Linked DNA regions of Drosophila melanogaster. Changing the gene in region 3 together with the main gene of any one other region gives a genetic interaction. Each region holds a gene or a part of one and is shown on either strand. Other genes may lie near its edges. The genes, in order: spir, fs(1)K10 and Cf2.

Region 1 (9,793 bases), about 15 Mb from region 3:
TGCGATAGTTTTTTATATAGACCGGTGTTTTTTCCCCTAATCTGAGTTTTTGTTTGTAGAAATTGTTAGCCGATATTGGTTCTGTTTCTAGACCAAAAATATCGCTAAACTCGGTGCATAACTTAGTTAGTTCATTATTGAATTGTTTAGGGAATCTTAATTGTTTTAAAATTTCTTCAGTTCTATTTTCCTTTTCTACTGGTGTTGTAAAAATGTCATAGTCTTTCATTGATTCGCATTTGATCTTCGCGCTATCTATTATGGCGTCTTTATTATTTGTATTTATAATGCGAATCAATGCGTTTTTGCTATCGGCAATGGTGCTTGCTACTATTATACCTGGTTGCAGCTCCTGATTTGGTACTACCACCGTTTTTTCGTTAGTGAGTAATTTGACTTGTCTGATTACTTCGCATCTAGCTGGCAATAAGAGTGTGTTGGAGTCTAAGTTATGTGTAATTGGTACACTAATCTGTCTACTGAAGTTATTGGGTCTTATTGTGAACCAGTCTTTGTTATTTTGAAACTCTAATACGCAATTGTATTTCTTGATAAAATCTATTCCGATTATGCCATCGCATGGTATCGGAAAATTCTCAGGTACTACATGAAATTCATGTGGCACTAGAACATCCTGAATGCGTATGTCAAGATCTACTGTACCTATAGACTGTATGGTTCCTTGCCCAATACCTGTAATATTTGATATATTACTGAAATTTATATTATTATATTCCTTTGCTTTGGCTTTTAGCAATGAAATTTCTGCACCTGTGTCTATTAGTAATGTAAGAACTGTGTTTGTTTCATGGTTTTTTGTCTTAATGAAAATACTCAGATTTAGGTTTACTTTAAACACTTTTACTGTTGATCGCTTAAGGGGGTCTGGCTGTTTTCCGATTGTACGTTACGCACATTTCGGTTGTTATTATTATTCTGACTTTGGTTACCCCTTCGGTTACCTCCGTCTCTGTTATTACCGTGGCCGCGGTAGCCTCCGCGACCTCTGTTGTTATTATTATAACCTTGGTTATAATTCTGGTTATAATTATGGTTATAATTATTTCTGCCTCTACCACGATAGTAGGCATTATAATTACCACGTCTATTATTCCCATTATAGAATAAGACTGTATTTGAATTGCCGGTTATTTCTGTACTGCAATGTAGGTATTTTTCCATTGCGTCGTTGAATGTACTAAATGTACCTGCAGTTAAGATCATTTTAAGTGCCTCGTTGGCACAGTTTTTGGTCATTGCTGATATCGACTCTTTAGTCGCGAATTTGTCAGCATTATCGGCGTCTAATCCGCCGTCTATGTAAGCTGCCTCGAGCTGCTTACGCATACTGTCTATTTCTGTAACATACTGAGACGCGGTCTTGCCTCTTTGTTGGGCATTTATTAATTTGGCCTTTATAACGTCAGGCGATTCGCCTTTTACGTTTGCCTGCAATATGGTAATTATTGCCTGTATCGTTGTCGCATGTTCTACTTTATAGTTTAATGGGCCAATAATTTTGGTCTTTATGACCTCTACTGCTAAAGTTTCTTGATCTCCTTTAGTTAGATCCGTCAACTTAAGTGCTGTCACAAACCTGTTTAAATGGAGTTTCTTACCATCGAATTCAGGTACTGTGGCAGATACCTGTTTAACGTATGCTCTCTGAGCTTCTAATGCGTTGGCCATGTTTCTTGTATTTGGTTGTACGGTATTAAATTTTAATTCTTCTATTGATTCGATATCGCTTTCGATATCTAAATCTTCTAACGGCTGCGACTCGTCCAAGTCTCTTAACTGGCTTTCGTCGAATTCTGCTATTTTGGTTAGTTCTGTTGGGACTTCTATTATAATACTGTGTCTAACGCTGGTATTATGTAGTCTTTTACCAAATGAACTGAGAACTTTGAAGCATTGGACTTTATGTTCTTCAGTGAGTTTGCTTTTGTTTGTTACTATTAGGTTTTGTAATGTGTTGTATTGTGTTATCAATACCTTTATGTGAAAAATAAGCGTCTGAGTTTTGATCAGCGCGGTTTTATTAATACATTTATAGGATTTATCAAAAGCATCTCTAATATTGTTTATGGATATGGTTAAGTTTAGCCATTCCATGTATGTACCTTTTAGCGATGTAATCGCACTTGTACCTTTTTGGTGTAGTTTCTATTAGATTTTGTCTAAATCATTGGCTCGACTCATGTAAGTCTTTTCAACGATCTTTTGTGAAACTGATAAAGTTTTAAGGCCAGGTTAAAAGGCTGATAGGATAACTAAAATCAAAAATAGTAAGTACATTGAATTTAACTGTGGGGTTGTATCCACGACTTATGTCCCATTTTGATATGGGGAAAATTAGTCTTTATTTGTATATCAAAAGTACAAATAGAATTTTAACTTTGAGAATTGGTCAATTATTGTTATCTCGATCAGATATAAATATAGCTCGAAATTTTAATAGGTCTAAACTGTTGTTAAACATATTTTTACTTGATAGATGAATTCATTATACTCAGTTTACATCGGTTGCAATTTGCAATTTTACAATATTATTACTTATTTTAAGTTTAGGACTGAGTATAATGTGTTAGTTATGAAATGGGTCCCTGATAAGTTAGTAATTTTGTTGCAGCGGAAACCGCATCGACAACATTAATATAATATTTGGGCGGTTGAGGCTATGGCGTATAACGCAGCCCGCCGCTTTACTTCGCACCACGAAGTTGTTGATTGATGGCTGCAAGGCGCTCTTTGTAGCGCTGCCGGTCTTCCTCATTAGTTGCCGTCTTCAGTAGTTCGATGTTGAGCCTCCGGGCGCTGAGCAACTTAATCCGGCGGCCACCCCTCTTCTTTTTAGGTGGCTGCTCCCTCGCTGCAGTCCGTGCCTTGTACTCTTGTATGGTCAAGGGCTTTGGTCCCGCGGACGGATCTACCTCTATTACCTCTTTGATACTTGGCAGATCCCTTTGCTCGACAGGAGCAGGGTGTTCGAACGTCTGCTTGGTAGACATTCGCTGTTGTCATGTGCGGCGCGCCGGTGGAATCCTTTATCCTTTATCCTAATCCTACCCTCGCAGGATGCCGTGCTAATTGCTGTTGCGGCTTACAATGGTCGAGGGCAGTCGTTCATGCAGACGTCGGGTCTTTTCGGCTTGGGTGATGTTGAATTTTCAGTTATTTCTTCATTGATTATTTCTATTTTTGCTGAGTGAGTTGTGGTATTCGGCTTTCTTTGCTGGAGGTTTTCTTTCAGAAAGTCTAATTCGGCAGTTAATTTCGGTGCCGTTGCCCATGGGGGCGGTGTTTTATTTGTATATCATAGCCACTTAATATGTGCTATACCTTTATTTTTGATTTCCTGACATCCGCGTTTGCCCATTACCACACTCTACTCACTCAGTATTTTTGTTTCTTTTTTTTTTCATCAGTGTCCCGTCTCTAGGTCTCCCGCACTGGTGTAAGGGGCGGCCTGCCTCTCACACCTGTTGTCGCTGTTTAGAATTCCCAAATCAAATCGGCAATATTAGCAGCATTTCCTCAGTAGTCCTCAGATCGCAGGCTCCTGCCTCACGGTCGCCATGTAATAAACCAATATATGCCACCAATTGAGAACACGTGTTTTCCTTGCAGTTGGGTGCAGCCGTCAGGCCACCTTTTTATTTCTTCTTATCTCTTCGAGTAGCAGAAACGGTTCTGCCCGCTTAACCTCTACAGAGTGTCTAATCTTACCTAAATACTGCGACTGCGCCGCCGTCGACAGCGGCAGAAGAGCAGCGTATATATATATGTATAAGAGAGAGAGAGAGAGAGCTTATGCGCATATATGGCCAGCGGCCAGCGTGGGGATGCTGACTTAGCTTAAAGCATAAATGGGTGATCTTATATCACGCTCACTTGAGACATTTATTTATGCAATGCAACTAAGTGTTGCTGTGTACTTATAGGTACAGTGTACCCTCGATATATGCACATACTACAATATATTCTTGTAATCAATGTTTATATTATGTAAATCAGCTGTCGCTCCCCAAAAATTCCTTAATTCCAATTAGAAGACAACGAAAAAATTTCTCTTTATTTACGAATAAAAATTGTCCCTCAACTCCAATTGGAACGGCTGATCCGTCAACATTTTAGTCGGCAACACTTTAGTCTGCAACATTTGGGAATGTTGCATCATCTTGTTGCTATGCATGTTTCCACGGAAAAAGAGAGTATATCATAACAAGAGACCATTCACTTTTTTCGTTTTGAAGCAACAAATTTGAAAAGAGAAAACTTTATGTTTTTCCCGCGGGCTTGTTTGTTTTTTTTTTCTCGCTCTCCGTCGAATTGACTCTACATTTTGATGTGATCTTATTATTAGGTGAATCAGCTGTCTTCAAAAGAACAGTTTTAATTAAAAAAAAAATCCCTCAATTCCAATTCAAATTTCATTTAGAACACAACGAAGATATTTCTCTTCTTGTACGAACAAAATGCTCTCTTAACTCAAGTTGGAACGGCCGTTCCGGCAACATTTAAGTTGGTAACATTGTTGCATGCTGCATGCATTTGAGCACAAGAGTGTCATTTACGATTAGCAACTCGCGGCGAACGGACGTGTGTAAAAAATAGCCGGTGAGAAAAAACGAAGTGCGATTGCCGAAGAAAAACAGAGAGATTTCAAATAATAAAGAAATGCAAATGAAACAGAAGAAAATAAAAATAAAGCAAAGTGCGTGATTTCCATCTCCTCAGTGTTGTGAAATTTCTAGCAGAGTCTAACGGCGATTTGCGAATGCCGACTTAAGAAGTGCGAAAACAAAAACGTGACGCCAGTTTAAAATATTCTCAAGCGAAAATCATGTGTTTTTTGTTATACCCTGTGCTTTGTGTTTAATGTAGCTGACGACAAACAAAATATTAGAATCGTGTACGTCGGGAATCCGAATTCCATCCCCTCGTGTTGTGTTATTATTGTATTAAAGTTTCCTTTGCCATTTACCACACACAACACAGAAAAACAACAACAACAAAACTAAACCAAAATCGAACCAAAAACAAACCGCGAATTTTGCAGGTTAGCCCACCCGAAAGAGGCAAAAAAATCAATTATATGTTGGCCAGTGCCGGGTTTGCAGTGGAATCGGGTTGAAAGCCATCGATAGCCACACACGCCCACACACATAATGACGGAGCACCAGGCCGAGGAGCAGGCGGACACGCCGCCCACCAAGGTCAAGGCCACGCCCACACCCACCCCGAGTGGAAAGTTCAAGGACGCGAAGGAAGACGCCTTCCTGTCCACATCGCCGGACAGCGCCAACGGCGATGCCCAACACAAGCTGCCAGCGGACCAGCTGGCCATGTCCTCCAGTGCGCATCCCCAGCAGGCGGGCCAAGCCCGCCCGCTCATCCTGCAAGCCTTCCACCGCTGCTCCTCGCCAGAACAGTGCGTCACGCTGCACGACATCCTGGACTCCTTTAAGGCGCCGCTCTCCGAGGACCAGGCCTGGGCCCTGATCCACCAGTTCGCCGGGCTCTACCACCAGGTGGCCGTACAAGCGCACACCTGTGCCGCGGACTACGAGGCCGCCCTGCCCACCGGATTCGAGCTGCACTTCCATCGCGACGGCAGCGTCCACTTCTCCGGCCCGGATCAGCTGACGCCTAAGGAGCAACTGCAGCAGGAGCAGATCCCCCTCCCCCCGCAGCACGACGTGATTGTGGATCAGCCGGACCACAGCGCCAGCAGCAGCGGCGACAGCAGCGTCATCAACAGAGGTAAGCAGACCGACCTACTGAAAAATCAATATGCATACATATTTCTCACGGCTACAGTTAGCGGAAATTAATATTCCTGCAGTTTATGCCAGTTGTTTAATTAACGGAAATTAACTTAGTATGAATCTTCTATTCCTTGAATTTTTAATTTATTATTTTTTAAATCATGCTGAAAATATTTGAACTAAAATTGATCTATAGTCATAGTTATTAATGTTATAACATTTATTTATTAACGTGCTGCACACAACTGGCAATCTTTAGAATCTATATAGAAGTGGAAATGTTCAATACAACATTGATCAACTAACAATTTGGATTGATAACCTAATGAACCTGCCAACCCCAAATGACATTTTAATGTCGTTTTTCCTTACAATTATAGTAACATGTTTTAATCACAAATAATTTATTGTACATTGCACGCAAATGCAATTTGACTACCTTTAAGCTAGCAACCCGTGTATATTCTTTCGACTTTGTGTTAAGTTCTGTATCCTTTGAGCAATATTTCCTATTATTTTTTATGAGTCTTCCTAAAGATATATATATAGTTTATGTGTATTTCGGCCCGTCAGAGGTCAGTTGGGTGTTGACTTCAGATGCGGAACTGTAACAGTGATGAAAACTGGGGCTGTGATTAGCTGGGCCGGAAAACCGGTTGCGCTGATGCCTCTCCGAATGCTGAGGGGTCTTTGTCTTTTCGGCAAACGCTTTCATTTTCAGTTAATAAGCCACAGTTAACTTCTTTCTCTCGGCCTTTTATTTTCGGACATCTGCCGTGATGTGGGTTTCCGTGTGCCATCCATCTGACTATTGGCATCGCCCGGCCATCGCCAGCGGAGTCCCCAGCGCTTTCCAAACAAACAACCCACACTATCCGCCATCCGATGATGACCTCTGCATTTAAGTTATGCAGCCAGCCAGCTTTGATTGGGGTTTTCCCCACTTCTGCCTTCTGTCTGATTGCGTGCTGGCTTGGGAAAGTGTAAACGGCGACTCCCATGAAGAAGGTACCATCCCAGTACCCTATCAGCAGTGTTTTTCACTTTCTTTTGTAGCTCGGAGAGCACAAGTATCACTGGAAGAAAGGCAGGTCATGTTCGGATTGGGCAGAAGATTGAACGCTTTTCCTTGCCGCAATACAATCGAATCCAAATCTACGAAAGTAGATTTTTTCCAGTGTAACGATCACAGCCTTTCCTTTCGGCATTCCCCCTGCATTCGCTGTAATTGATGGGGGGATACTTTTTCGCCTCTCGATCTCTGAATCTACAGAACGTGTCTGAGTCTGTCTCGCAGCTAATTGTTTAATCATTCGTCTGCGCGGGGACTGTCAAAATACAGGTCGGTAATCTATCGACTTTTAGATAAGCCACGTTAATTGGAAAATGCGTTTCTGAGTGGGTAGTGATGGGAATCTTGGATTTCGTTCTCCTAGGTGGCCCTTAATGTGACTCAGCTCAGCTTTTGGTCTGCAGCATTAACTGCATTCCATTGCATCTTTCTTCGTATGGGCCTGTCTATCTCTATTTGGCCAGGCCAACTCTGCCTATAGCCGGCTTTTGTATCAGCGTGGCCAATTAGTTAGCTCTTATAGACAATTAGCCAGTTACATGGGTAATCTTAAGGGCACGCAGATACAGGAAGTTACAGTATTAATTGAACTGTGTAACTCGGAGGTGAAGGAACTATAGATGGCTGATAATGCTGTAGGAAGTCCTAGGGGATTTTAAAACCCATTTCAGTATACTACTTAAAATTCAGAAATTTTCTTTTATAAATAACTTAAAAAATGTTCTTAGCTCTTAAACCTCTGTAATTAAAGGTCTGTGATCGTCAATTTCTTATCTAAATTCACACGTAACCTTTGTTTATGCTTATCATCAGAACTTTCCTCGGGCCAAACAGAGATCACCTTGTAACACCTTAATTGCCGCTAATTCAGCCGCTAAAATCCAAGCCATTAGGTGAGATATCGAAAGGTTTTGGCCCGGGAACCTCGAGAACCGCCAGCGGGGGCAATTAGTCTGCTCAAACAAGTTATTACAGATGGGAGACGGACCAGACGGGTGGATGCCATCAGATTCAGCACCTTCTAATGGCTTTCGGTCGGCTGCTTCTGTGTTATCCGAAGCAAATACATCAAATCGGTGGAACGTTCTCGCAGGTTACATTGTTGCTGTGCGGGCTTTGAACTTGCCGCATCGATTTCGATTTCGGTCTCGATTTCCGTTGGTCTCTGGCTGAAAATCGCGCTCCATCGCCTCCTGACAACCGCATCCACGGGCGCAGCGAATCATTGATTGTGTCGAATTCGGCTCCAGACCCTCGGAGGCCATCGGAACCCTCGGGAGCACCCGCGACCATGGAAATCGGGGCGTGGGAGACGGAGCTTTTGATGGGAAAACGTCGGCGGCGCCGTCGGGTCGCCGCGCCCTCTGGCGCCTCGATTAGGCGCGCAGCAGTTTCCACAGAGTTTTCCACATTTTCACGGGCGCACCGATAAAATTGGCGCTTGAATCTGTCAACACACAAACTCGCCATTACGTTTTTCAGCAGGCTCGCAGAAAATTGGGAAATGGCTTGCGCCAGCAGGTGTTCGCTTATTCCAAATTTTCCACTGGAAAAGTCGCCCACGTATTTTGTGGAGCCTTCTCCCCAAGGTCATGGGTCATGCGCAGTTCGGAAAAATCGGAAAACCGGAAAACAGGAAAATCGTAAGCATAGTAGCATAGGAAAAATGGAAAGGGAACATTTGTTGCGGTAGGTTCTCTTCTTCCAAGTCAGCTGTTGATTGTGTTTTACTCTGTTTATTTTCGCCGCTTTTCATTTGATTCATCTCACTTAATTTGATTCTTCCGTTTCCAAACTTATTTCACTCGAAGTAATCAAAGAGATCGGAAAGAAAGCTAGAAAAAATCCCTTTTTGGCCTCGAATCATCCGCTTGGGTGATGATATGTTATTTTCATGTCTATGACTTTCTTGTTTTCACCGACAATACAAACAACTGGCCGCTCAACTGGTTTAATGTTTAAATAATTACACTAAAAATTACCCAAACAACGGTCAGCGAAAAATGGCCCGAAACTAAAAAAAAAAAAACCAAACAAAATTATAACGAAACTAAAGCTCAGCAGCAAATTGGTGCACTTTTTGTTGTCCGTTGTGTGGAGGAAAATGAAGAAAGACTCTTGGAAGTATCTTTAAATGGTCGGAGGGTAAATTGTTGCTAATCTTGGGCTTATCTCTTTGTCTGGCAAAGCTTTGGGTGGAGTCCAAATGAAGAGTTACCAAATGATAATTGCAATGTGCCGCCTATTTATTAGGCACTTCAGTGGGCTCAATTAGCCATTAGAGAGGGGCATTTTCAGATGGAGGAGTTTTGAAATGGCTTCAATTTACGATGATAAGGTCAACGATTTCTTCTCTCAATGTTTCGATTAGTGGCAGCTAATTTATAGTTCCACAGTTTCCACAGAAGCTGAGATATTGACTTTGGGAAAATGTTTTAGCTAGCCACCAAAGTTATTTCACAAACGCCAAACATTTCGATTTTGCAACCTTCGTAATCCACTCAAAGTAACTTGGAATTCGAGACCATATATTATGTTTATTTCGGATTAGGTAGCTGTCTGAAATGAATTTATTATCAAGCGGCAGTAATAGTTTATGTTTTCCAGGGGACCACACCACGTGCTCTTAGGTTTCCGCGTTGGCTTATATTTTTTTTGACACATCATAGACCCAAATTTAATTGCCAGCTATTGTGTTGACGCTCCAGTTTTGGGACACAATTAATATAATAATTTTTTCATAATGACAACAAATGACATAAGCACGACGACGAACCTGAACCAAATTTCAGAGACCCAAATGCGGTGGGCTATTTTGTATTTTGTATTTGTGTTTTTATTTTTTGGGCCTCTCCTAAACTTGTCCACCTGTGCAGTTTGCATTCGAGTTACGAAATCCGCTGACCATTGGCTGCATTTTGAAATGGAAATACTTTGTGTCGCCTTCGGA
Region 2 (11,254 bases), on a different chromosome or scaffold from region 3:
GTATACACACTATATAGCCACATGCCCAATTAGCCAAATCTCTCATTAACACAAGTGTAAATGCTAATTTCTCACCAAGAGCAGACAAATTTTCTTACGATTAATTACCAAGAGACAAAACCAACAGACAACAAAAAACAAAATACAATGAATATTGATTATTTCTATGTACATATATGGATTGTATTAAACATTTATCGAAACTAGCTGTTAACAAAACATTTTTATTCCCCCTCACTCCACTCCATTTTTTTAGTTCCATTTAAAACAAATTTCATATTTATATTATACATAAAAATTATATAAATATATATCAATTAAATAAATAATAAATGAAACTTGTTATACAAAAAAACCCCCTTTTATCTAGCTTTTTTACTGGCGTTGTGGCTCTTTCTTGTCCACCGGTGGCCATAAAGGCGTCAGTTCGCTAAGCGCCACGTCGTAGAGCAGGTTCTGATACTCCTCCAAAAGGACTAAGAAGAAACGGAAGATTAGCAAAGAAATTAGGGTTCGAGAGACTGGGGTAAACTTACAGTGAGGATCGCTATTCCATTGGTCGATCAGAGCCTGGCGGTTATGGATCTGCTTGGTAATTAGAGCGCGCTTAAAGCGCAATACCTTGTTGTTCATACTGGACCAGCTCTTGATTACGGAGGCGGGTGTGGACTTTAGTTTGCTCCGGAAGTCTGCTAACCTCGAGCAAACCTCTCCATCCAGCAGAAACATTCCGAAGTAACTGAAACCACATGATTAGTATGATCACTTATCTAAATACCCAACCTTTAAAAAGACACTCACCAGCAGGCCTTTTCGCTGAGCGGCATCTCCACTTCCCCGAGAGGCAGCTCCCACCCCGACTTGCCAAACGTGGCATCCACGTGACAGAAGATCTTCCCTGATGTTTTATCAAATCTGGGAGCAGGATCCTCGCGCACCTCACGTATGTTGCAGAGCAGGGGAACGTATAGAAGAAGCCACTCCGGCTCAATGGCGGTGATGCCGCGGATGAACATCTTGGTAGAGTCGCCGTTTTGCAGCTCGTATGCCTCCTGATAGATTACCCATTCGGGTGCTTTTTGACGCAACACGGATGAGACGTGCAGGAACGCTGGTTCCTCCATGTCAGCACAATTGTATGCGTACTTTAATCGCCGCCGCTCTTCCTTGTCGGCGATGTCTGCCAGAGGTACCTTTCTAGCCACCCGGTCGCCCATGCCGGCCAATAGAATTTGGCGAAGGAAACGCGCCTGGGCATCGGTGGGAGGCTTCAGTTCGGGGTCCACACCCAGCTCAACGTCACTAACATTCAGGTTAATCTCGTTAGTCAGCTGGACGCGCAATTTTCGCACCTCGCTCATCGCTTTCTGGCGCAATCCATTCGCAGCACAAAACTCTGGCAAGCGGCCCTGCGATCCGGCGTACTCTGCAGCTCCTACGGCACGTAATAAGACCATAGGATCTCCAAGCAACTGATAGTTGCCGCTGGCCGCCCAACTTTGGCGTTTGCGGTGGAACCGATTCGCGCCAGGTGCCACATCCTCATCCCTTTGAACGCCCGTTTCGATTAGCACCTCCTGGACTGAAAGTGCGGCCACCAGGCAGACGGTGTAGGGCAGTAGGTTCTGCTGGTGGGACAGAGCCAGCATTTTTCCAAAGCGCGGCGCCACGGGAAAGCGGGAGATAACGTGACCCAAACGAGTAACGGCTGGTGGCAAATCTGTATTCTCTGTCTTGGCGACCTCCAGGGCACCTAGCACGATCAATCGCCGCTCGGCGGCTTGCAGCTGCACTTGATCCGGTGGTGAGGGAAAGGGAAAGTGCACCACGCGATCGATGCCCATGCAGCGCATTTGCAGCATAAGGTCCTCGACGGGCTTTTTCTGGATATCCGGCTGGGAAAAGTCCTCGAAGCAGTCGTTGTACACGGCACTCGAGTAGAGGCGATAGCAATGTCCGGCGCTGATGCGACCCGCTCGTCCAGCACGCTGATCCGCCGAGGCCTTAGACGTGTAGGTTACCACAAAAGCACTCACACCCGTCAGTTTGTCGTAAAGACGCGTCTTCTGGCGACCACAGTCAACAACATACTTGATGTGCGGGATGGTGAGAGATGTCTCTGCCACATTGGTGCTAACCACGCATAGCCGGCAGCCATCGGGAACGGGCAGGAAGATGCGGTTTTGCTTCTCCGAGGAGAGGAGCGAGTAGAGCGGCAGGACCCACAGAGGTTGCCTTTGACCAGATCCCATTCCCGACTCATCCTCCAAGCCTAGTTCATCGTCGTTATCCTCTTCTAGTCCCTCCTGCTCATCATCCTCATCCGGCTGCTCGTGCATGTCTGCTTCCGTATCATCACCAGGGAGCTTGTAGTCGTCCAAATTGATTTTGGGTAACGCCATTTGCGCCAAGAACTTTTTCTTAGATTTACGAATATTACGTATAACTCGTTTCATATCAAACTCCAGCTCCTTGGGATCCTCCACAGTCGATGCCGCATCATCTATTGTTTCCTCTTTTTCTTCCTCCGATACCTTTCCATTTTTAGCGACATCCTTGGTTGGCGCATGATGATACGGAAACGTACGTCGCAGCTTGCGCACCAGTTGGTTGACCTCCTGCTGTCCCGTCACAAAAATTAGTATGCCGCCTTCCGGAAGCTTATTATGGATTTTTAAGGTCTTGCGGTAAGCCTCCGCCACATAGTCATCAGGTGTGCGCTTCTGGAAGTGAATAGTCACCGGAAATTGTCGAGCCTCCACTTTAAGCAACGGTGGCGGAATCTTAAACAAGCGAGTATTCTCTGTAAAATCGGATACCCGCAAAGTGGCAGACATAATGATCAGCTTCAGCGGCTGCCCGCGTTTGTGACGCAAGGGCACGATCCTTGACAGGAGACCCACTAGGATGTCTGTGTAAACACTGCGCTCGTGCGCCTCGTCCAGGATGATCACTGAGTACTTACTAAGCAGAAAGTCAGTTTCGATCTCCTTAAGCAACACACCATCTGTCATGAATTTAATGCGCGTCGCTGGTGTTACGTTTCCCTCGAAGCGAATGAGGTATGACACCTCGCTCTCCGGCAGGTTCATCTCGTGGGCCACCCGCTTGGACATGGCAATAGCAGCCACTCGCCGCGGCTCCGTCACTCCAATCATCTTGTGCTGGGCATACCCCGCTTCGTACAGGAACTGCGGTAGCTGGGTAGTCTTTCCAGAGCCAGTCTCACCAGCCACGATCACAATGGGGTTTTCGTTGATTGTCTCCATCACCTGCTGCTCCTCCGCGAGGATAGGCAGTCGAAGACGGGCATTCTGAACTTCTGTTGTCCGATGTACGGGCACATAGACAGTCTGGTGGATACAGGCAGGTGGGTTAGGCTCTGGCTTCAACTTTTTAATGGGTGGTTTAACAGCGATTTGCGGTGGAGCTATAGACACTGGAGTGGGTATGGCAATAGGAGCGGATTGAGCTGGTGCCTCCTCATCGTCCTCATCAGAGGATGAAGAATCTTCGTCATCTTCCTCCACGCTAATTACATTCGGATTCTTTCGCTTGGCCTGTAGTTCCTCCTCCTCTTCGACGAGAAGCTTGCGCTTGGAGCCCTTTATAGCATTTACGCGGAGACCCGACGCCGAGCTTTTTTCAGCTAAAACTTGGGCCTGTCTTTCCTTTTTCTTGGCTAGATACTCGTCAAGGGTGGGTAGACGCTTTAATCCCACGGTTTGCACTTGGCTAATGGAAGTATACTGCTGCAGCTCCTCCTCCGGAATTTGAACGGCAGCAAGGTCACCCAACAGCTGAGCGCGCTAAATTAGAAAAGATTTCAATTAAATATCAGTTTTATATTAGCACTGAATAAAAACCTACACCCTCTTTCTTTTTCTTCTTGTCCACAATAGCCTGGAGGTGCTTGCGCTGCTTCTTGGAAAGGATCTTCACGTGTTGCACTTTGTCCACCTTAATCTTGGTGGCCCGCTTCTCGGAGGGCAGAACCAGAGCGTTGGCCTCATCGTAGCCAACCTGGTTGCCGCCGGCCACAGCATCCACATCGATCTGAATCTGTAGAGTATTGGATTTGGAAAGGGTAAGAAAGCGGATTCGAGTGTGTGGTCCGACGGATGACCTACCTTCTTCACGGCCGAGTTGTCCACAATTGTTTGTGGATTCTGCCGCGCCTTGGCATTGTGCACCTTCTTGCCCATGATTACTTTACTTTACCAATATAGTTAATAAAATAAAGTAACAGAATTAACTTTGGGCAATAATATAAACATTGATTTAAATCACACGTGCGAAGTACGCTTATCGATAACAGCGCAGGCGATAACAAAAGTTGAGATACTCTAAAATGTGCTGTGATGTTACATTTGTGTTAGTGGAAACATACATTAGTGGGAAAAACTGATTGTTATAGTTGTTCACACTCCTTCGACAGCACTGGTATCGAAACGTTATCGCAATCGATTCATCGTAATATTTTCAATATAAGTTTTTGTGACAAATAGGCGTGCAACATTTTAGATCCATCTGCTCCCCGCCTGTCGTTTCGGCTTGGCTCCTCTGCTCGAGTCCTGAACCCCCGTTTTCAGTGAAATCCAGCTACCTGCAATGGTGTCCAAGAACCAATTCTATCAGAACTGGACCATGCAGTCGCAGCAGCAGCACCCGCACCAAATGCAGCAACAGTTTCAGCAACAGCAGCAGCCAAATCTGCAGCACCGCAACAACCAGAGCAACAATAATAATTGCAACAATAATCCCCGCGCAGCTGCGGCTCCGTATAGAAAACCGTTTCGTTCGGGCAAAATTAACTCCGGACCAGGAGGAAATGGGAATGGTAACAGGGTCAACGGTAACAATCAGATGATGTTTTCCTCCAGCCAAATGCCGAGCGATCCCCTGTACATTGACTTCAGCAGCCCGCCACCAGGATTCAAACACAATCAGGTAGGCAGTCCCAAGAAGAAGTCTATGAAGGGCATCAAACAGCAGCAGCATCCCAGTCCGAACCAGCAGCAGCCTCCCAGTCCGAACCAGCAGCAGCATCCCAGTCCGAACCAGCAGCAGCATCCCAGTCCGAACCAGCAGCAGCATCCCAATTCGAACCAGCAGCAGCATCTCAGTCCGAACCAGCAGCAGGGCAAGATGAACAACCAGAACAACAATCATATGAACCAGTCGCAGCAGCCCTTCAACAATCAGATGAACGGAAGCGATTGGCAGCGCCATCCGGGCAACAATCCCAATCAGATTCGCGGTGGCTTTAATGGATTCCAACGCGGGCCGCCTCCGAACCGTCCTCCTCCACGCCTCATGATGGGTCCGCCAATGGGTCCGATGGGCCCCGGACCACGGGGACCCGGACCGATGGGCCCTGGAGGACCTTACCCGCAAATGCCTTTCCCGCCACCGGTGCCTGGTATGCGCGGTCCCGGACCCATGGGCCCCATGGGTGGACCACCACCGCCGCCGCCACCGCTCTTTATGCGTCGCAACGGACCCGGTCCAGGTCCTATGATGGGTGTCCCACCGCCCATGCACATGATGGGTCCACGGATGCCGCCGCGGGGAATTCCACCGGTCGGACCTTATGGACCAATGAACATGAATGGCGGCCGGATAATGAAGCCCAATCCCAAGCTAATCAAGCAGGTGGTGAAAGGCAAGAGCAGCATAAAGACACTAAAGAACCTGATCAATCAGTATCCCATCGAAAAGCCCTGGGTAACGGACGAGATACGCAGCGAGCACGACAAGAAGGTGGACATCGAGAACAGATTGAAGGGCCACAAAGACGACGAGCTCTTCGCTCAGTACAAGGGCCAGCGGGACAAGTTCGTTAGTCTCTACGAAGCGGCGCGGGAAGAGTATCTCAAGCAGGAGGCAGCCACTGTCAAGGCCAAGGTGAGCATATAGAGACCCCCCAACATATCCTTATTCCCTTGGAACAGGTGTCCCATCCGAAGCTCTATTCAGGGAGGCACACCGATTCCGGGTACAGTTTCGGCTTAATCCGGAATCACTTTGCACCCCTGATTTGATCCGTAACCCCCACCCGTCCCTCTTTGTTGCGTTTGCCGGGCGGTAGGAAAAAAATAAGAGAGCAGAGAAAGTGAAAAAGTAAGTCTCAACCTGATGCACTCTCTCGCATTATCCTGCAGTCCTGCGGAAGGTTGTTGTCATATCTATTTTCACCTTCGGTTGTTCCCTTGGCACTGATATATATCCGCAAAAGAGAAACTATTGGCATATATTTACAACCATAGATTTATTAGGAACTGAACAAAATTGTGTAACTATTTAGAACTGCAATACAATGTGTTTACTGCCACCTTGTATACAAATTTAAAAAACTAATAGAATTTTGTACTGTTCGATCGTGGCAGGCGTAGTAGATTCATAAATGCACTCTTAGTAACTTAATATTCTTAATTGAACGAGCCTCAGTACTGAATCCTATGGCTGTTTTCATTTTCCAATTTGGTTGGCATGTGAAAAGCGAACTTAATGAATTTTAAACTGCCAGAACATCAATTTAGTTACTTAATTAGCAGATATAACCCAACTTATGAAACTCATTGCATATGAAATGATAATGATTTGAGTGATTAATGTTCGTGGGCGTAGTTATCTGGAAATAGCCAAGAGAAGTTCGCAGAATGCATTTAATAGCGAAAACAGATCTGAGAGCTCTTTTTACACACTCAACAACCTTGCTATTGAACACCGTTGGCAATTCTCGTATTTCTTTTGCAGGATGCCAAGTCAGACAAAGACAAAAACGCAATTTCAAGTCAGAGCGCAGCCCCTAAGGCCGGAAGCGCTAAAGATGCAACAATTCCAAATCCCTAGGCAGCCAATGCAACCGAATCCGAATACCGAATCAATCGAATCGAACCGACTAAAGAAGAGGTCGGTCGACTCACAGAACTAAATGTAAACTTAAACTTTAAACCAATGAGCAATTCAAAACTAAAACTAACAGCGAGCAACAGCAAGAGTCTGACAATTGAAGACGAATATAACTCAAAACCCCGACTCCTATATCGGATATACGTATACACAATCGTAATCCGAGGAGGCGCCGCCTTTGTCACACGTTGCTTTTGCGACTGAGAACTGAGCTTAGAACGATAATGTAGCAACAAATACAAACCCAGCGATAATAATGTGGGCGAAACTCTAGTAATAGCGATAAAAATTTAGATTGCGAATCGATTCACTTGTCTAACGTAACCTAGCGTAACGTAAAGTAGAGTATTGAAATGTAACCGTAACGTAACGTAACGTACCAGTTTCCTATTCGAAAACTATTTGTTGTTCAATTCTAAGTTGCAGCCATTTCAAGTATGTGTACACAATTTATGACACGCCCTTACCTATATATGTATGCATATATATTGATATATATATATATATAAATTATTTTCCTATTCGTTGCCCGAGTGCGTGGGCGCGACATAATTGAAACAGAGTGGCCGGATCCTAAGCACTCTGGCATAAATCACACTGTAGGCCTTAGATTACACCACTTGATTGTATTTTTAAATTAATTCTTAAAAACTACAAATTAAGATCACTCTGTGAACGTGTGCTCGATGGTGTGCATCTACGGATTTGTTTTTGTGTTCTTTTTCCCCACCCAACCCCGTCCCTGACCCAATTCCGCTGTTCTCTTTACCGACTTGTAGATTAATCACGCTCTTGATCTTCATGACCGGATCCACCTGACAAGTAACGCCAAAGCAGCCCCACTTAGCGGAATAGTAGAGCCTAGGGGACCCAACGTAAAAACTCTAGTATAGCACCAATCTCCCAACCAGTTAACATTATACCTAAACCCATGGTCAAGAGTAAACATTTCTGCCTTTGAAGTTGAGAACACAATTAAGCATCCCCTGGTTAAACCTGACATTCATACTTGTTAATAGCGCCATAAACATAGCACCAATTTCGAAGAAATCAGTTAAAAGCAATTAGCAATTAGCAATTAGCAATAACTCTGCTGACTTCAAAACGAGAAGAGTTACAAGTATTTGTAAGGCACAGTTTATAGACCACCGACGGCTCGTTAGGGCTCGTCATGTAACTAAGCGCGGTGAAACCCAATTGAACATATAGTGGAATTATTATTATCAATGGGGAATATTTAACCCTCAGGTAGCAAAGTAATTTAATTGCAAATAGAGAGTCCTAAGACTAAATAATATATTTAAAAATCTGGCCCTTTGACCTTGCTTGTCAGGTGCATTTGGGTTCAATCGTAAGTTGCTTCTATATAAACACTTTCCCCATCCCCGCAATAATGAAGAATACCGCAGAATAAAGAGAGATTTGCAACAAAAAATAAAGGCATTGCGAAAACTTTTTATGGGGGATCATTACACTCGGGCCTACGGTTACAATTCCCAGCCACTTAAGCGACAAGTTTGGCCAACAATCCATCTAATAGCTAATAGCGCAATCACTGGTAATCGCAAGAGTATATAGGCAATAGAACCCATGGATTTGCCCAAAGGTAACCGAGACAATGGAGAAGCAAGAGGATTTCAAACTGAACACCCACAGTGCTGTGTACTACCACTGGCGCGTTTGGGAGCTCACTGGCCTGATGCGTCCTCCGGGCGTTTCAAGCCTGCTTTACGTGGTATACTCCATTACGGTCAACTTGGTGGTCACCGTGCTGTTTCCCTTGAGCTTGCTGGCCAGGCTGCTGTTCACCACCAACATGGCCGGATTGTGCGAGAACCTGACCATAACTATTACCGATATTGTGGCCAATTTGAAGTTTGCGAATGTGTACATGGTGAGGAAGCAGCTCCATGAGATTCGCTCTCTCCTAAGGCTCATGGACGCTAGAGCCCGGCTGGTGGGCGATCCCGAGGAGATTTCTGCCTTGAGGAAGGAAGTGAATATCGCACAGGGCACTTTCCGCACCTTTGCCAGTATTTTCGTATTTGGCACTACTTTGAGTTGCGTCCGCGTGGTCGTTCGCCCGGATCGAGAGCTCCTGTATCCGGCCTGGTTCGGCGTTGACTGGATGCACTCCACCAGAAACTATGTGCTCATCAATATCTACCAGCTCTTCGGCTTGATAGTGCAGGCTATACAGAACTGCGCTAGTGACTCCTATCCGCCTGCGTTTCTCTGCCTGCTCACGGGTCATATGCGTGCTTTGGAGCTGAGGGTGCGGCGGATTGGCTGCAGGACGGAAAAGTCCAATAAAGGGCAGACATATGAAGCCTGGCGGGAGGAGGTGTACCAGGAACTCATCGAGTGCATCCGCGATCTGGCGCGGGTCCATCGGCTGAGGGAGATCATTCAGCGGGTCCTTTCAGTGCCCTGCATGGCCCAGTTCGTCTGCTCCGCCGCCGTCCAGTGTACCGTCGCCATGCACTTCCTGTACGTAGCGGATGACCACGACCACACCGCCATGATCATCTCGATTGTATTTTTCTCGGCCGTCACCTTGGAGGTGTTTGTAATCTGCTATTTTGGGGACAGGATGCGGACACAGAGCGAGGCGCTGTGCGATGCCTTCTACGATTGCAACTGGATAGAACAGCTGCCCAAGTTCAAGCGCGAACTGCTCTTCACCCTGGCCAGGACGCAGCGGCCTTCTCTTATCTACGCAGGCAACTACATCGCACTCTCGCTGGAGACCTTCGAGCAGGCAAGGCACAATTATATATTCAAATGTCCTTTGATTTGATTCAAATATGATATGATTCACTTGATTCCAGGTCATGAGGTTCACATACTCTGTTTTCACACTCTTGCTGAGGGCCAAGTAAGAACTTTATAATCTCTTTTTGGGGAGAAAAATTTTAAAGCACAATAGCAGAAAAATATATCAGATAATATAACAAAAAAAAAGATCATTATAGTTTTTTATTTAAGTGGTTTATTACTAAGGTATCCAAAAATAAAGCGAAAAATCTGCAATTTCAGATATTTAGCTTTGTTCAAAAGCAACGATTTTTAGGCGGAAGTGAATCAGTCACCGCTATCCGTCGTATCCGCTGGGGCAGCATCAGCTGCAGGTTCTGGCTCAGATGCAATAGCTGTAGCGGGCGGGTCGTCCACCGTGTTGTCTTTTTGTGTCTTCCACATCTTAGCTGCAGCCAGCAACTTGAGATTGGGTCGAGCCATTTCGTCCTCGGGAAAGATGTAGTCGAATACCTCCTCCCAACCTTCCTCGACGCCATTGTCCGAGACGATCTTTTGCCGCTTCTTGATGCGCCGCGGCATCTTGTCCATTACCTTTTGCATCTCCTGCGAATCGGAGGCGTCGCGTTCAAAGTCGCGCCATGCCTCTAGCAACAGAACACGCGACTCCTTGTCTCCCAGCTGACGCAACATCTCGTTGGCTCGCTCATAGATTCTCCTTGCCAGCTGCACGTTCAGCTCCGCATCTGGCCCGCTGTCGCCGTGGCTGAGGCCCATCTCGAACTTGGCAAACGACATCCACACTTTCACATGCTGCGTCCGCTCAAGGAGTCGCTCGTAAAGCTGTCTGGCTAGCTCTGTTTCGCCTAGGGCTACCTCGAAGTCGATGTACGCCTTCCACAGCAGCTCTGGCATGTCCAGGCGCGGCTGCTGCACCGCCAGCTCGAAAATGGCTCTCGCCCGGTCCGTGTCGCCCAACAGATTCTCCAGCTCGGCAAACTTCATCCAAGTGACACAATTCTCCGGTCCAAACTCCAGGAACTTCTCGTACAGCATGCGGCAGCGCTCGAACTCACGCAACTGAATCTCCAGATCAATATAGCCTCTGAAGAGCTTATCTCTGGGACACATGCCGATGGCCAAGCCCAGAGCTTTGCGTGCTCGCTGCAGCTCCTTGCAGCGGATCTCGAATTGGGCGTACAGCAGCCAAAGCTTGCTGAAGGTGAACTGCTTGTGAGGTATTAGCTCCAGACAGGTCTTGTAGATCTGCCGCGTGCGTTCCGCGTCCTCCGCTTCAAGCTCCTCGTACAAAGCATAATTGATCCAAAGGTAAATGTAGCGTCGCCAGAAGTTCTTTTCATTGGCAGGCGGCACGTTGGAAATGGCCCGTTCGTACGTCTCACGGATCTGATCCCGATCGCCCTCAGCCTCAATCAAGCGCAAATAGTCGAACCAGGCATCGTAGTTGGTGGGATTGGCGGCCACCTCCTGCTCGTACTGGTACTTGCGCTTGGAAACAATCACATCCTCAATACCCGCTCTGTCGCCGTACTTTTTCTCGTGTTTCGTATAGGCCTTGAAC
Region 3 (12,628 bases):
GAGGATATGCCGGGCTCTGTCTGGGCGATCCGGACATTGGTGAGCTGACCATATCCGAAATGAGTCCCGAGGACATACGCGCCGAACTCAAAAGGTACGAAGCATATCTATATGTTCTATTATCTCTATTTTCTATACATTTTCGATTCCAGACTGTATACCCAATTGGAGATAATGAAGAACAAGACTCTGCGGCAGGACAATCCGCACATCAGTAAGCGACGTGGCGGACGCAAGGCGGGTCACCGTCGCTTCTCCCTGCAGGTGAGTCGGGGTCACCACAACGGCAGCGTAGTCCACCACCAGCCATAGTGCTCACTGTACATGACATTGACGTGGCCAGAATGGGGAACCGGGCTGTAGGCCTCAGATCGATATTGCTGTTATTCTTCAATCCGAAACCAAACCTTTTGCTGCCCATCCCCACGCTCCCTAGATCTTTCTCTCTCCCCCGTCTCTCTAACCGTCTATGAATCTGTACTTCTCTTGATCCTCCAATGTGAACTCGCAGTACTGTTTGCCACTTATATTAATACATCTATAAATATCATTGTTCTTGTCATGACTATGTACAATATATTCGAAACCCACCACAACCAAACCAAACAAAACAATAACCACCAATGTTCAATGTAGAAAAAGGGCAGCAAGGATAAGGTAAGAATTTTCGGTTGCTTTTAGCATAAACCTCTAAACCTAACCTGCTAAAATATCTGTGTTGTGAATGTAAACTAAAATCCAAAACAAAACGACTAAATCAAAAGAATTTCTCGCACGTTTGTCTATAAACTTAGACCCAAAGTTCCCCAATGAACCCGAAACCACCAGCTTGTGCGTGTGTGTGTGTGTGTGTGCATGTGTCCGTCCCATAGATAGCACCACATAAGTCTTATCGAAAACAGATTGCACACGAAACTACAACGAGAAAACACATATCCACCAGTTGTCCATGTGACCCACTAAAATATCTCAAATTCGCAGGCTCTAAGTGCCAAACACCGCAGCAACAAGCATCATCAGGACATCGAGATCACCGAGGCGGAACCTTCCAGGACGCCCGAGGATTCGGTGTGCAGTGCCGAAGGACCCACGGATACCTATGCGGAAATCTCCGGCGTGTCCCACTCAATGCTCTCTCACTCGATGGTCTCCCACTCCGTGGTCTCGCATTCGAAGTAGGGAGTCCTTGCTGGTTCATGGCGGATATTTGAGAATTGTATATAGGTATTAAACGGTACGATACACGTTGGTATGTGTAGATAATATGTGAGAAATAGTTATTATATAGCGCAACAACACAAACAATAAAAGAATTACTTTAATTTCGCAAAGAAAGAAAAAAAAAACCAGCAGGAAAATGATTGATGCAAATGGAGATGCAACAAACACTCACCAAACACAAACAATAACAAATATTACTTTATTTTTCAATGAAACGTAAAGTGAGGAACCTTGAAAGCAGCCAAGAAGTTTTATAAAGTTTTGATAAATTTTTAGACGATTTTACTTTAGTTTACGTTGATTTCTGTCAGTCTTGAGTTCGATTGATTTCGATTGATTAGGATCACTGATAGATCAAAGTTGTTCAAACGTTTAGATCGGTAAAACAGAGCCCACCTGTGTAGGTAACGATATAACTGTAAAAACAAGGCCACATACACTAAGAAAAACAAACCCATTCCTAAAACACGCGTTTTCGTTTACCTCTAAGTTCCTCGACAGTTAGTTACTAACCATTTGCTTTCAAGTCAACCTTTCAACACTATCCACACTAAAGCTAAACAAATGATAGAGATCTTGAGATCATTTTCGATCAGCGAATAATCAGTTGTAAATTTGAGCTTATAGGCATTAACATAAAACTAGCAATTCCCCCCTCATTAACTATCGTACGTCTTACGTCTTGCTAATCTTACCAACTAAAGTGTATTTGTATTATATATTATACACTTGTAATTTCCACTCATTCCCATACAAAATCTAAAAATGGGCTAGACTTTCTGTAAATACACACAATGTACGAGGACGAAAGCGCAAATTGTTACATTTTCAAAACACACAGTTCCCGAACGAGAGTGAAAACCATAGGAAAATGCTTAATAGAGGCTAAAGTGCATATTTTTTTTTTTCAACCCAGCCCAACAAACTCAAAAACTCAAGTATTATTCACTACTAGCTGCTGATTTCCTCCGAAATTTGTAGATCCCAATCAAGAACATCTTAAATTCGTTATTCTCGAAAAAAGATCGTGTTAGAATATTGAAAAAAAAAAAACACAAAGTGAAAACATTTCAAATGTACGCAATAAATTTTGGATGAGCTCGTTATAAAAAACAAGAGAGAAAAAAAAAGAAGGGGGAAAACAAGTCCATAGAAAACATATAGTACAGTTACATGGGCATTTATAAGGGTTATGAAAAGTATATCTATATACACTACAACAAATATATAGAAATTAAAACATGGCAAATGGTTAAATTAGGTAAACTTACAGCATGCATGCAACAAATTGAGCATTTAAAACAAAATGAATGAACAAAACCGAAAATGATAATTAATTATAAAAGAAAAAAGAAAAGTAAAACCAACTTTTGGTTGCGTTTGATCAAAAGTGTGTGTATAAAAAAAATATTTATGGCATATACATAAAACATATAACTAACTTATATTATATATAAATATATATACATATATATATGAGTGTAATCAGCATTACAATAAAACAAAAACGAGAGAAAAACTAAATTAGTGGCTCGGCGCAAAGGAAACTACAAAAAACTAAAACGATTGGAAAAGTGAAACCGAATACATTTTGAAAGTGTGATAGTGTTCATAATATTCGTTCATTGTAATTAAAATGGAAAACAAAACCTAAATAAACTGAACTAAATCATCAAATGTGTCCTTGATTTTCGAGACAGACCTGGGAAACCATCTACATATAGGATATACATATATAAAAGATCCTGTTCGGTTTGTATATATAATCTTTCTACATGGTTGGACTTTATTTTGTATATATATAATTCCTTTTCATATAGTTTTAATTGAAATATTGCTCGAATATTTGCTAGATTTTGTCACGTAAATTTAGATTGCACGTACATACATTTATAATCGTAATATCTATTTATATATTTAATAATAATAAATTTTACAATTTTATTTCTAATTACTCACTTGCTCATGTTCGTGTTTCTGTTTCTGTGTGTCTGTTGTCTGGCTTCGTTTTTGGATTCGTGGCTAAGATCTAATACTAATAGTTAGTCGCTATTTAGTACGTATCGCATTCAACATGACTCATTCATTGGTAATCACTTACAGCAGAGTTAATTGGTTTTTTTTTTCAGTGTTGCGGTTAGTTAGGCGTTTCTTTTTTTTTTGCTGCATTTAGCGTTTTGCTGTTTGCTTTTGATCGTCAACTCTTCACGGTTTATTTAAAACTTAAAGAATTACAATAGTTTAGTACTTAGAATTTATTTTGGTTTTACATGCGCTGCGCATCGTTTGTTGCTGTGCTATGTGCCATTAGGTAGACAATTTGTTTGAGTGTATTATGCATTAATATTAGATACAGGTTTATATATTTGCATACTTTATAATTATATAACACTATGTTATAAAAATGTACATGGTTTTGGTTTTGCTACAGTTTTAGTTTAAGTTTTAGTCGATTTTAGTACGTACAACTCTTGCAAGTAATCATTTGCTGGTTTAAAAAAACGCGTTTAAGTAGTCGTAAAAATGATCAATCCATATTTATATATATTACAAAAACAACTTGAAGCTTTCTTTTTATCAAAAGTATCAATTGTGTAGATCGTTATGTTAATTTTTTTTTAATCTTCTAGTTTGGCGCATAAAGCTGTGTTGCGTTTAGCGTAGATTTCTCATTTCGATTTGCCTTAAATACTTTTTGTTTTGCGTTAAAAAATGCAAATTTTGTAAAATTAATTTCTTAGTTATGTTTTTCGTTATTCCTTTTTTTTTTAAAGTTTTATACAATCTCACTGTTTAGTTTAGTTTAGTTTAACAAACAAAAGCAGCGCTTTCAACTTAAATAATTTAAAAAATAAACAATGGTTAACATTCATCAATAAAAACAAGCTAAAATGATTAGATCATTTAGTTAATTAAAAGTAAATAAATTTTTAAAGCCAAAACAAACGAGATCCTGCTCGTGTGCAAATAATTGAGAAATGACTAAATTTCGTATTGGTCCTTTGTCATTTCCGCTACGAGTCGAAATTTTGAAAAACGTTCTTTCACGTAAAAATAAATAATTTTGTGTTGTTTTGAGTTCGAATAAAATAGATGTATAATTTATAAAAATAATTTAAGTTTTGCGCGTAGACATGAGTTTACCTTTTTCTTTTTGTTTTGCTGCTTTCAGTAACATTTACAAACAATTTAAGGAAGTAATAAAAATAATATTGCCACAAAGTATATGAGTAAAAATATTTTCTCTCTCTTTATAAATAATATATGTGTGTTGTGTGTAGTTTTGGGTGTGTGTGTGTTTGTGTGTGTGTCTGTATAGCGCCGCGCGTAAGTGAGTGTGCGCTATGGAGTCACCATATAAAATCTCATAGAATAACAAAATATTATATACGATATACATAGGTGTATAAAAAATAAAAATTGCAAAACATCTACATAACCAAATAGTAATAAGAATCAAAAATCGATTGCAATAACTTAAACATTCTACGAACTGTATGCTAATTTAGTACAAATCTGTTTCTGCTTCTGCTTCTGTGTTAACCGAACTGAAGGTATGTATCTAATTTAGTAATTTAATCTAGCAGCACTGCGAAGAGATTTGCCAGTCGTTGGTTGCAGTTGTTGCATCCGCTGCAGTTGCATAACTCCCGTCTACGTGAGTGTGTCTCGTCTTTGAAATGGTCTTTCATTTATGGTTTGCTCATCCCGTTTCCGCTGCAGTTCGTCCTAAGCCGATGCCGCAGCCGCCGCAGATGGCTTCTTGGGATCTGTATCCGTGTCGGCGGACAACGGCGGCGGCGCACCAGGACCAGAAGGATTTGGAGGATGAGTAGGAGGAGGAGGAGCGGCTGGGGCAGGAACGGGTAACTGGCGGCCACCGCCCGGCCTTCCCTAGAGCGGATGCAGCTTGGTCGTGTGCACAGTGAGGGCGCTGCGCTGCGTGAAGCGCTTGTCGCAATACGGACAGGTGTACGGCTTCTCGCCGGTGTGCGTCCGTATGTGCTTGGTCAGATAGTCCTTCACGCTGAAGGACTTCTCGCAGTAACCGCAGTGGAACGGCTTCTCTCCTGCAAAACAGCCACGATTGGCGAAACGGAGAAAGTTGGGATACTCGGTTAGCACATGTCGCTAGCACTTAGCCAGTTTGCTTGGTGCGTGCAGTACCAAAGGTTTGATTGATTGATTGATTGACTGAGAGTGGTGGATGTGTGGGTAGAGTAGATATGTATGCATATCAAATAGGTTTTGCACGTAATCAAACTATATATATATATTGATTATATATTAAATGTGTGTATATATTTGGTTGGTGTTTGTTAAAATGCATTCGAGAAATATTATTACGTAATGAGATGAGGCGGCGGGCGATACGGATTTGGATTATCATATTGCTTGGCTACCCTCACAGAAAGCTTTTGCTGAAAAATAGTTGATGATCTTTTCATATTTTCTCGTTCTGTGAGGGTATGTAAACTGTGACTCATACGATTCGTTATTTGTCGCTAATCGAAGGCGGCAAAAATTCAAGGCCCCGAATGTCACTTGCTGGAAATCGAATAGAAACTCGAACTAGACGCTTGATTATAATCTAAAATTAAGCTTTTGCAATGCAATCAAGATGAAAGATCTTAATATAGAAGCACACATAATCGAAACGTTATATTATTCATTTAATTGCACACTGATTTCACATTAATCATCTCAATTTCTCACTAATTACTATAATTCGATTATTTAGACTGTAATTAACGGAGAATATAATCTAGCAAGTGACATCCTGGCCAGATCTGAATCTTGGCCATTAGGTTGGGGATTTTTGCCGCCTTTTTTGGGCGTGGTTTTCTGCGCAGCCGCTGCGGCGGCTCGAGTCTGATGATCGAGCTTCGGCAGGACGACTGGCAGAGGTGAGAGAGATTGATATTGGTACTGATTGATCGAGATTGATTGATAGAGATTGAGCGAGTTTGTGTATGGCAAATGGAAATGGACTTGCATACAGAGGTTTCTCTTTTTTGAGTATTGCTGTTTTTTTTTTTTTTGCTCATCACGCTGAGGTGACAATTTACTGATCGATTGATTGGTTGATTGAAAAGTCGATTGATTGGTTGAGTTGATTGAGAGCTGATTGACTGACTGAATTGATTTGAAAAATATTGCTTCTCACCCGTGTGAGTCGTTAAATGTTTGTTCAGGTAATCCTTAACAGTGAACGCCCTGCCACAATAGCCACATCTAAATGGTTTCTCACCTGTATGTATGCGAGTGTGCTGTTTTAGTGTATTCGATTGAGTGAAGGACTTGCCGCAGTAGGAGCACGTGTAGGGGCGTTCTTTGGGCGTGGCGCTGTCGGAGTTGCGGTTCGGAGAGTGGAGATTCGAGAGTTAACAATTATTTATATTCATATTCACAAAATACCGCGCAGAAACGGAGAGGAAAAAGATACAGAGAGAGAGAGAGAGAGAGAGTGGGCGCGGGAGAAAAGAAAGAAATTTAAATTATATTATTAGTAACACTCGATTTAAAAATAAGTTGCAAAACAAACGACACACGAACGCATGGGCCTCGTCCCAGAGCTTCGAGGGCGCGCCCATGCGCCCAGCTGGCCCGAAGGAAATCAAAAATAATATATATATATATATATATACAAGGTGGTAAGATTATTGGGGTTAGTTCGGCGATCACGCCGCCCCAGTCGCAAAGGAAGACCCACAAAAAACTACGTGGGTATCCCCCCCTTTGAGCTAGAGCGGGCAATGCCTTGGAATGAATAACAGGTAATCCGGCAATGAGCTAGGAAGCATTCTTATCTTAAAGCATTGCAACTGAAAGCTTTCCTGGATGCAAAGACACTTAATCTTGTTGAGATTACACTGCGATCTATACTATATCTATCAATATTTTATAAATTCTTCTTTGCACGACAATATCCCATCACTTCTAACTAACTAACAAACTAACTACTATCATTAAAATATCTATAAGATCATCAAATGCCAGTTACTCGACTAGAGCTTTTAAAGTCGCTGTCCAGTAGCTATCATTGCCGGAATACCCAGTCCGTAAGATGCATATAAAATGGATTTACTCTGCTTCGCCTGTGTGTATCTTGCGGTGCATGGCCAGCGTGCCGGGCGTCTTGAAGGTCTTTGGACAATCCGGACATTTGTGCCGGATCTTGTGCGCCAGATCGGCAGGTACCGTTTGTGTGCCGACTAGCACACCCGAACTGGCCGGAGCGGGTACACCGGGATTGGCTTGTATGGCATAGACAGGCACAGAGTTGACAACATCACCACTGTCGCTCAGGCTGAGTGGCTCCTCCTTGATAATGACCTGCGGATGCGACACAATGGCGCCACCGTTGGCGTTCTTGTTTAGCTTGACGGTGAGTGGTGGCACCTTCAGCGCCACCTGGTCGCCGGCGAGATCCTGATCCTGCTGGTGATGGTGCACCTGCTGCTGTTGCGCCTGCTCCTGCATTTCACGCTGCTGCTGCTCCAGCAGTTCCTGCTGCTGCTGCTGCTGCTGTTGTTGTTGTTGGTGCTGTTGCTGATGGTGGTGCTCCGCCTGCAGTTGCTGCTGATGGTGCTGCTCCTCGGGCGTCAGTCTCATATCACGGGGCGCCATTGCCGGCAGCTGATCGTCGGGCGTCACCGCCGCCTCCTGCTGTTCCATAAAGCCCTGCTGTCCGGCAGCCAGCATGGCGGTGGTGCAAATGGAGCCGCACTGCGTGCATTTGTACTCGTTGGGCTGCTGGGTGGCCGAGTGGATGCCATAGATGCTGCACATAAGGCAGCGGGACAGGAAGGCGGGCGTCTGATGGGCCAGCCGATGGTGTTCGTCTAAATCGACGGCGTTGCCAAACTTTTCATCACAATTGAAGCAGGGGTGGCTGAGCTTGGGGTGCTGCTGTGCCTGCGGATGACCGCCGTCCAGCGTGGCAATGGCTCCCTGGGCGTTCAGCGTGATCCCGTGGCACAGCTGCATGTGATCCGCGACGTGCTGCGGTCGCTCAAACTGCTGGTGACACATGGGACAATAGTGCGGCGACACGTGCACATTGGGGTCCATGCTGAGATTGGGCAGAAAGGCTGTCTTCAGGGTGTCCATGTTGGCTATCACGGTGGCCACTTGGTGCGTGGGCGTGGCTGGGGCGGCGGTGGAGGTGGTGGCTGAGGAGGGGGGCGGCGGCGGCGGCGCTGGCGACTGATCCTCGGGGCGTGGCAGACGCTGTTCCTGTGGATTCGTGGTGGACTTTATCATTTCACTTCCGCTGGCGCTTGGAGAGTAATCGCTTCTTTTGGTTTGACTTGGTTAGTGGGCAGGAGCAGGAGCAATTGGCGGTTAAAGAAGGCGATATGCGCTGCAGGAGTAATAAAAATCATAATTACAGGCGGCCACAAGCGAATGTATGTGCAAGCGTGTGGGTGTGTGCTGGTGTGTATGTGTGTGTGTGTTCTTTGAGTCTGGCAGTCGCAAATTAGCAGGAACGAATTCGGAAATCACAAATTCACGAAATCTTCAGTCCCGATCTTCTGCATTTGACCCCCAATGTCCCCCCACAGCGGCTGGCGAAGAAGAGGAAGAAGGAGGAGGAGATGAAGAAGAAGAGGAGCGGGCAGCAGCAGCGGCAATGCGTTCGAATTGAAAATTTTTTTCAGTCTGTCATATTCTAAATTCGGAATTCTATTTTGATTGCTTTTTCGGTCTCTCGTTTTGTTTCCATCTTTCTTACCAGCGCACTGAATATTTACTGCACCTTGTTGTTGCTGGCGGCCGTTCGATTTTGTTGTATTTGGAGCGGGGGTCACGAAAATGCTGGGGCGGCCAATCAGTTTAATAACATTTTCTCCTTTGTACAACAAATAAACGTATATTAACAAAAAAAATTTTTCACTTTTATTATTATTTTTGGCGAAAAATGTACAACTACAACAAAAAGTATCGATTACTGGCATCGAAACTACGATGGCAACGTCGCTCTAGAACTGACGATGTGGCAACGCCCTTGCTAACGATATATTTTTCTGCCTTTTCCTAAAATATGACAAATAAAACGTTTTCTAAGTATGCAAATTAAAGTATAATATAACTTTAACTTAACGTTATAAAAATTGTAAGCAAAGCTTTCGATATTAGGAGTTCTTCTATTTCCAAATTTATCGGGTCTATCGTTCTGCGATAGCTCGATACTTTCATAAGCTGATAATTTCACAACAATTGGAAAAAGGATTGTTTGGAGAAATACAATAGAAATATTATTGCAACAAGGGTTGCAATTGGCTTCCCCTTATATTGGTCATCTATAGTGCCAAAACTGTCACTTGTCCTCCACCGCGGACATATCAGAGTCCACCTGCAACCCGCCGTTGGTCAGGATTTGGACAGAGGCTTGTTTGTAAACTGCCACAATTACCACCGATATAGAACTCGATCTTCTCAAGCCAAGTTCCAATAGGTTTGTGGAATCACAGCACCAAATTGTGATCTATATTGACTCTCTTTCGATTGTGCAGAATGTCGTCGCCATGGGTTAAGACCAGCGAGCCTGTGCAGCAGGTGAATCTGGCGGATATAATGTCGGAGCAATATGCCCACAAGTTGCACGACAAGGAGCTGCAGCGCCACACGGAGAAGCTGAAAAGACCGGACGAACAGATAGCACCCGTTTGGGGGTCGCAAGCCTCATCCCCGCCAGCGCCCAATGCGCAGAGTATCCAAAGTGATGCGGAGGATTGGGAGGATTACTCTGCGCTCCTCAATGACGAAGGAAACGTAGCGGAGGACATTCAGCTGCCGGAAGACAGCGATGCAGTTATTGCCCAGCTGTTGCAGTCCCAGTTCGATCACGAGTACAATGAGGAATTGCGTCGTATCGAGCGGCAGCAAAACAAGCAATCCAAGGTCACTGTTACCCTCAATAAGTTCCTACGTGATGGCGATGCAGAGTTCTTGCACGACACCGCGGAAGATGACTACGAAGAGGATGAATTGGAGCAACAGAAGCACGACTGGGATCGGTTCGAGGACAATGAACGGCAGCTTGACTCCATACCTCGCTGCGGCTTTAAAGTTAACAAGGAGGGCGAGATGATAACAAAGCACGATCCGCAGCTGTGCGCCGTGCGTAATGCCCAGCGCGTGATGTCCTTTCCGCCGGAGTTTCCCACCGGTGATGCTGCCGGTTTCGACATGAAGCTCTCCAATAAGGTTAGAAGCGGTCAGTTTTAAGCGATAATAAGACTTAAACGTACCTTTCAGGTGTTTAACCAACTACGAGCCCATTCTCGACGAGGCCGCTCCGACAAGCACGAGAAAGTGGCCACCGCGGAGATGGGATTGGATGCGGGTACACGTTTGCTGCTGTACAAGCTGATCAATAACCAAATACTGGAGCAGATCAACGGCATTATATCCACGGGCAAGGAGGCGGTCATCTTGCACGCCAATTCCGATGCGAACTATACGGGCAGCAACGAGCATGGTCACCAGAGTGGTGTGCTCGTTCCACCGCAGCTTTTGCCCCGGGAGTGTGCCATTAAAATCTTTAAAACCACGCTCAACGAGTTCAAGCAGCGCGATAGATACATCAAGGATGACTATCGGTTCAAGGATCGCTTTAGCAAACAAAACCACCGAGTGATTATCAATATGTGGGCCGAGAAGGAGATGCATAATCTGATGAGGATGCAAGCCATTGGCCTAAACGTTCCAGACGTTGTTGTGCTGAAGAAGCACGTGCTGGTAATGCGGTTCATCGGTGACAATCATAACGCTGCGCCCAAGTTAAAGGATGCCCGTCTGAGCGACGCGGAGCTGAGTTGCGCCTACGAAGAGATTGTGGCCGCGATGCACAAGTTGTACAATGAGGCGAAGCTGGTGCACGCCGATATGAGCGAATATAACATACTCTGGTTCGAGGGCAAGTGCTGGTTTATTGACGTGGCCCAGAGTGTCGAACCGAAGCATCCCAGTGCCCTGGAGTTCCTGATGAGGGATTGCGGCAACATTGTTAACTTCTTTGAACGACGCGGCCTGCCCAACATTTACACCAAGGAGCAGTTGTTCGAGTTTATTACGGGTCTCAATTCAGAGGTCCACACCGCCGCTCAGCTGGAGCAGATCCACACGCGTGGCGCTTCCATTAGCCAAGCCACTGCTCCGAATCAGGAGGAGTGCCCCGACGAACTGAAACCCTTGGAGTATCCCTTTGAGCTGGCCTGGGAAAAATCACAACAAGATCGCGCTGCTCAAAAGGCTCTGCAGCAAGCGCAGGATAATAACGATAACAAAACCGACACGGATAAGGATCAAGAGACCGATGACAATGAGAATGATAGTGACGACAAGGAAAAGATTAACAAAACTGCCAACCATTGAAACTTCTAAAGTGTGGACTCATTTAGTTTAGTTTTAAATTGATATTAACAGTTTGGTCACAGAGATTCCATAGTAAAAGATATGATGCTTGTAGTCAAGTAACTTGACTATAAAATATCCCTCGAAAAAAAGAATAAATTGTTTTGTTTTTCCACCCATGGAAACCTTTGCTTTGTATTTTAGAACTTATTTAAAATATTTTTTGGGTAACCTTCAACTCTTTTTTTTGTAGTGCGCTCCAATTTGCATTTGTTGCACTCATGTTGTTACGGATATTTCTCCTAATGGCTTTGATCTTGAATCGTTATTAATCAATTAAGATTAATGCAAATGTCAGGCTTCAATGGCCACACGCCCATCTTCCGAATCAGCTAACCCGACAATTGAACTCATTTGGTGCGCAGTTTTCCCCATTAATTGGGAGATTTGTCGGTTCAATCGAATCTCCGATCAGATGATTACGTATAAAAATGCCATACCCAGTGCACACGATTCTGGGTTGTCGATCTGACGGAACTAGTACATCTATCTGTCCGAGAATAGTCTGGATGCGTTTGCGAAACTGGACTTTGCAAAATATTGTAGTTCAAGTGTGACGTCAGAATCCAGTTGCGAGCAGTTCAGTGCGTATACATATATGTATATTGTAAATGATTCTGTTGCGTTCAGTATAGCTAGAGATTCAAAGTCTGCTTTGGCTTACTCTTCCTTATCATTAGGGAACTTTAAAAACAATATATATTTCGCTTAATTGTGTCTGTGTTTTGATTAAATAATAGTTGCAAACAGTTCTAGATTTCTGTGACCCATTTCTTTGAATACTATTTTTAAGGTTAGAGGATCCAAAAACAGCGTTGCATTTTTGGCTTTCAAATCGAAAACCGTTAGATGCGAATTTCCGTTTCCGCCACAGCATCTGCAATTTGAGTTCAATTTCAATTGATTCGCATTCGCTGTTGTTGTGCACCCGTCAATCAAAATGGAACTTTCTTTCGATCATCAGCACACGCTGCAGTGAATCCAT

Evidence for each region.
Region 1: of Cf2 (region 3) and spir, changing one suppresses a phenotype caused by changing the other (phenotypic suppression), as found in Drosophila melanogaster (one study listed by BioGRID).
Region 2: of Cf2 (region 3) and fs(1)K10, changing one suppresses a phenotype caused by changing the other (phenotypic suppression), as found in Drosophila melanogaster (one study listed by BioGRID).

Annotation. Positions count from the first base shown.
Region 1 is NT_033779.5:20,306,649-20,316,441, forward strand, and holds the start of spir (spire), read left to right. Parts: upstream 1-4,570; 5' UTR 4,571-5,171; coding exon 5,172-5,766; intron 5,767-9,356; exon of another isoform or gene 9,357-9,793.
Region 2 is NC_004354.4:2,237,698-2,248,951, forward strand, and holds fs(1)K10 (female sterile (1) K10), read left to right. Parts: upstream 1-4,440; 5' UTR 4,441-4,611; coding exon 4,612-5,907; intron 5,908-6,759; coding exon 6,760-6,855; 3' UTR 6,856-8,344; downstream 8,345-11,254. Other genes in the region: kz (kurz), read right to left, coding at 376-476, 537-739, 802-3,809, 3,871-4,062, 4,131-4,205; Or2a (odorant receptor 2a), read left to right, coding at 8,534-9,676, 9,747-9,797; crn (crooked neck), read right to left, coding at 10,000-11,254. UniProt on the Drosophila melanogaster protein: May be involved in localization of sqd to the oocyte during oogenesis.
Region 3 is NT_033779.5:4,873,906-4,886,533, forward strand, and holds Cf2 (chorion factor 2), read right to left. Parts: upstream 9,203-12,628; 5' UTR 8,984-9,202; exon of another isoform or gene 8,960-8,983; intron 8,897-8,959; exon of another isoform or gene 8,588-8,896; 5' UTR 8,488-8,587; coding exon 7,310-8,487; intron 6,568-7,309; coding exon 6,389-6,567; intron 5,292-6,388; coding exon 5,116-5,291; coding exon of another isoform or gene 4,951-5,115; 3' UTR 3,205-4,950; downstream 1-3,204. Other genes in the region: smog, read left to right, coding at 1-94, 153-264, 637-657, 982-1,179; CG3008 (uncharacterized protein), read left to right, coding at 9,742-10,434, 10,486-11,604. UniProt on the Drosophila melanogaster protein: Transcriptional regulator; binds to the promoter region of Cp15. Also binds to its own promoter, thus having a probable autoregulatory role.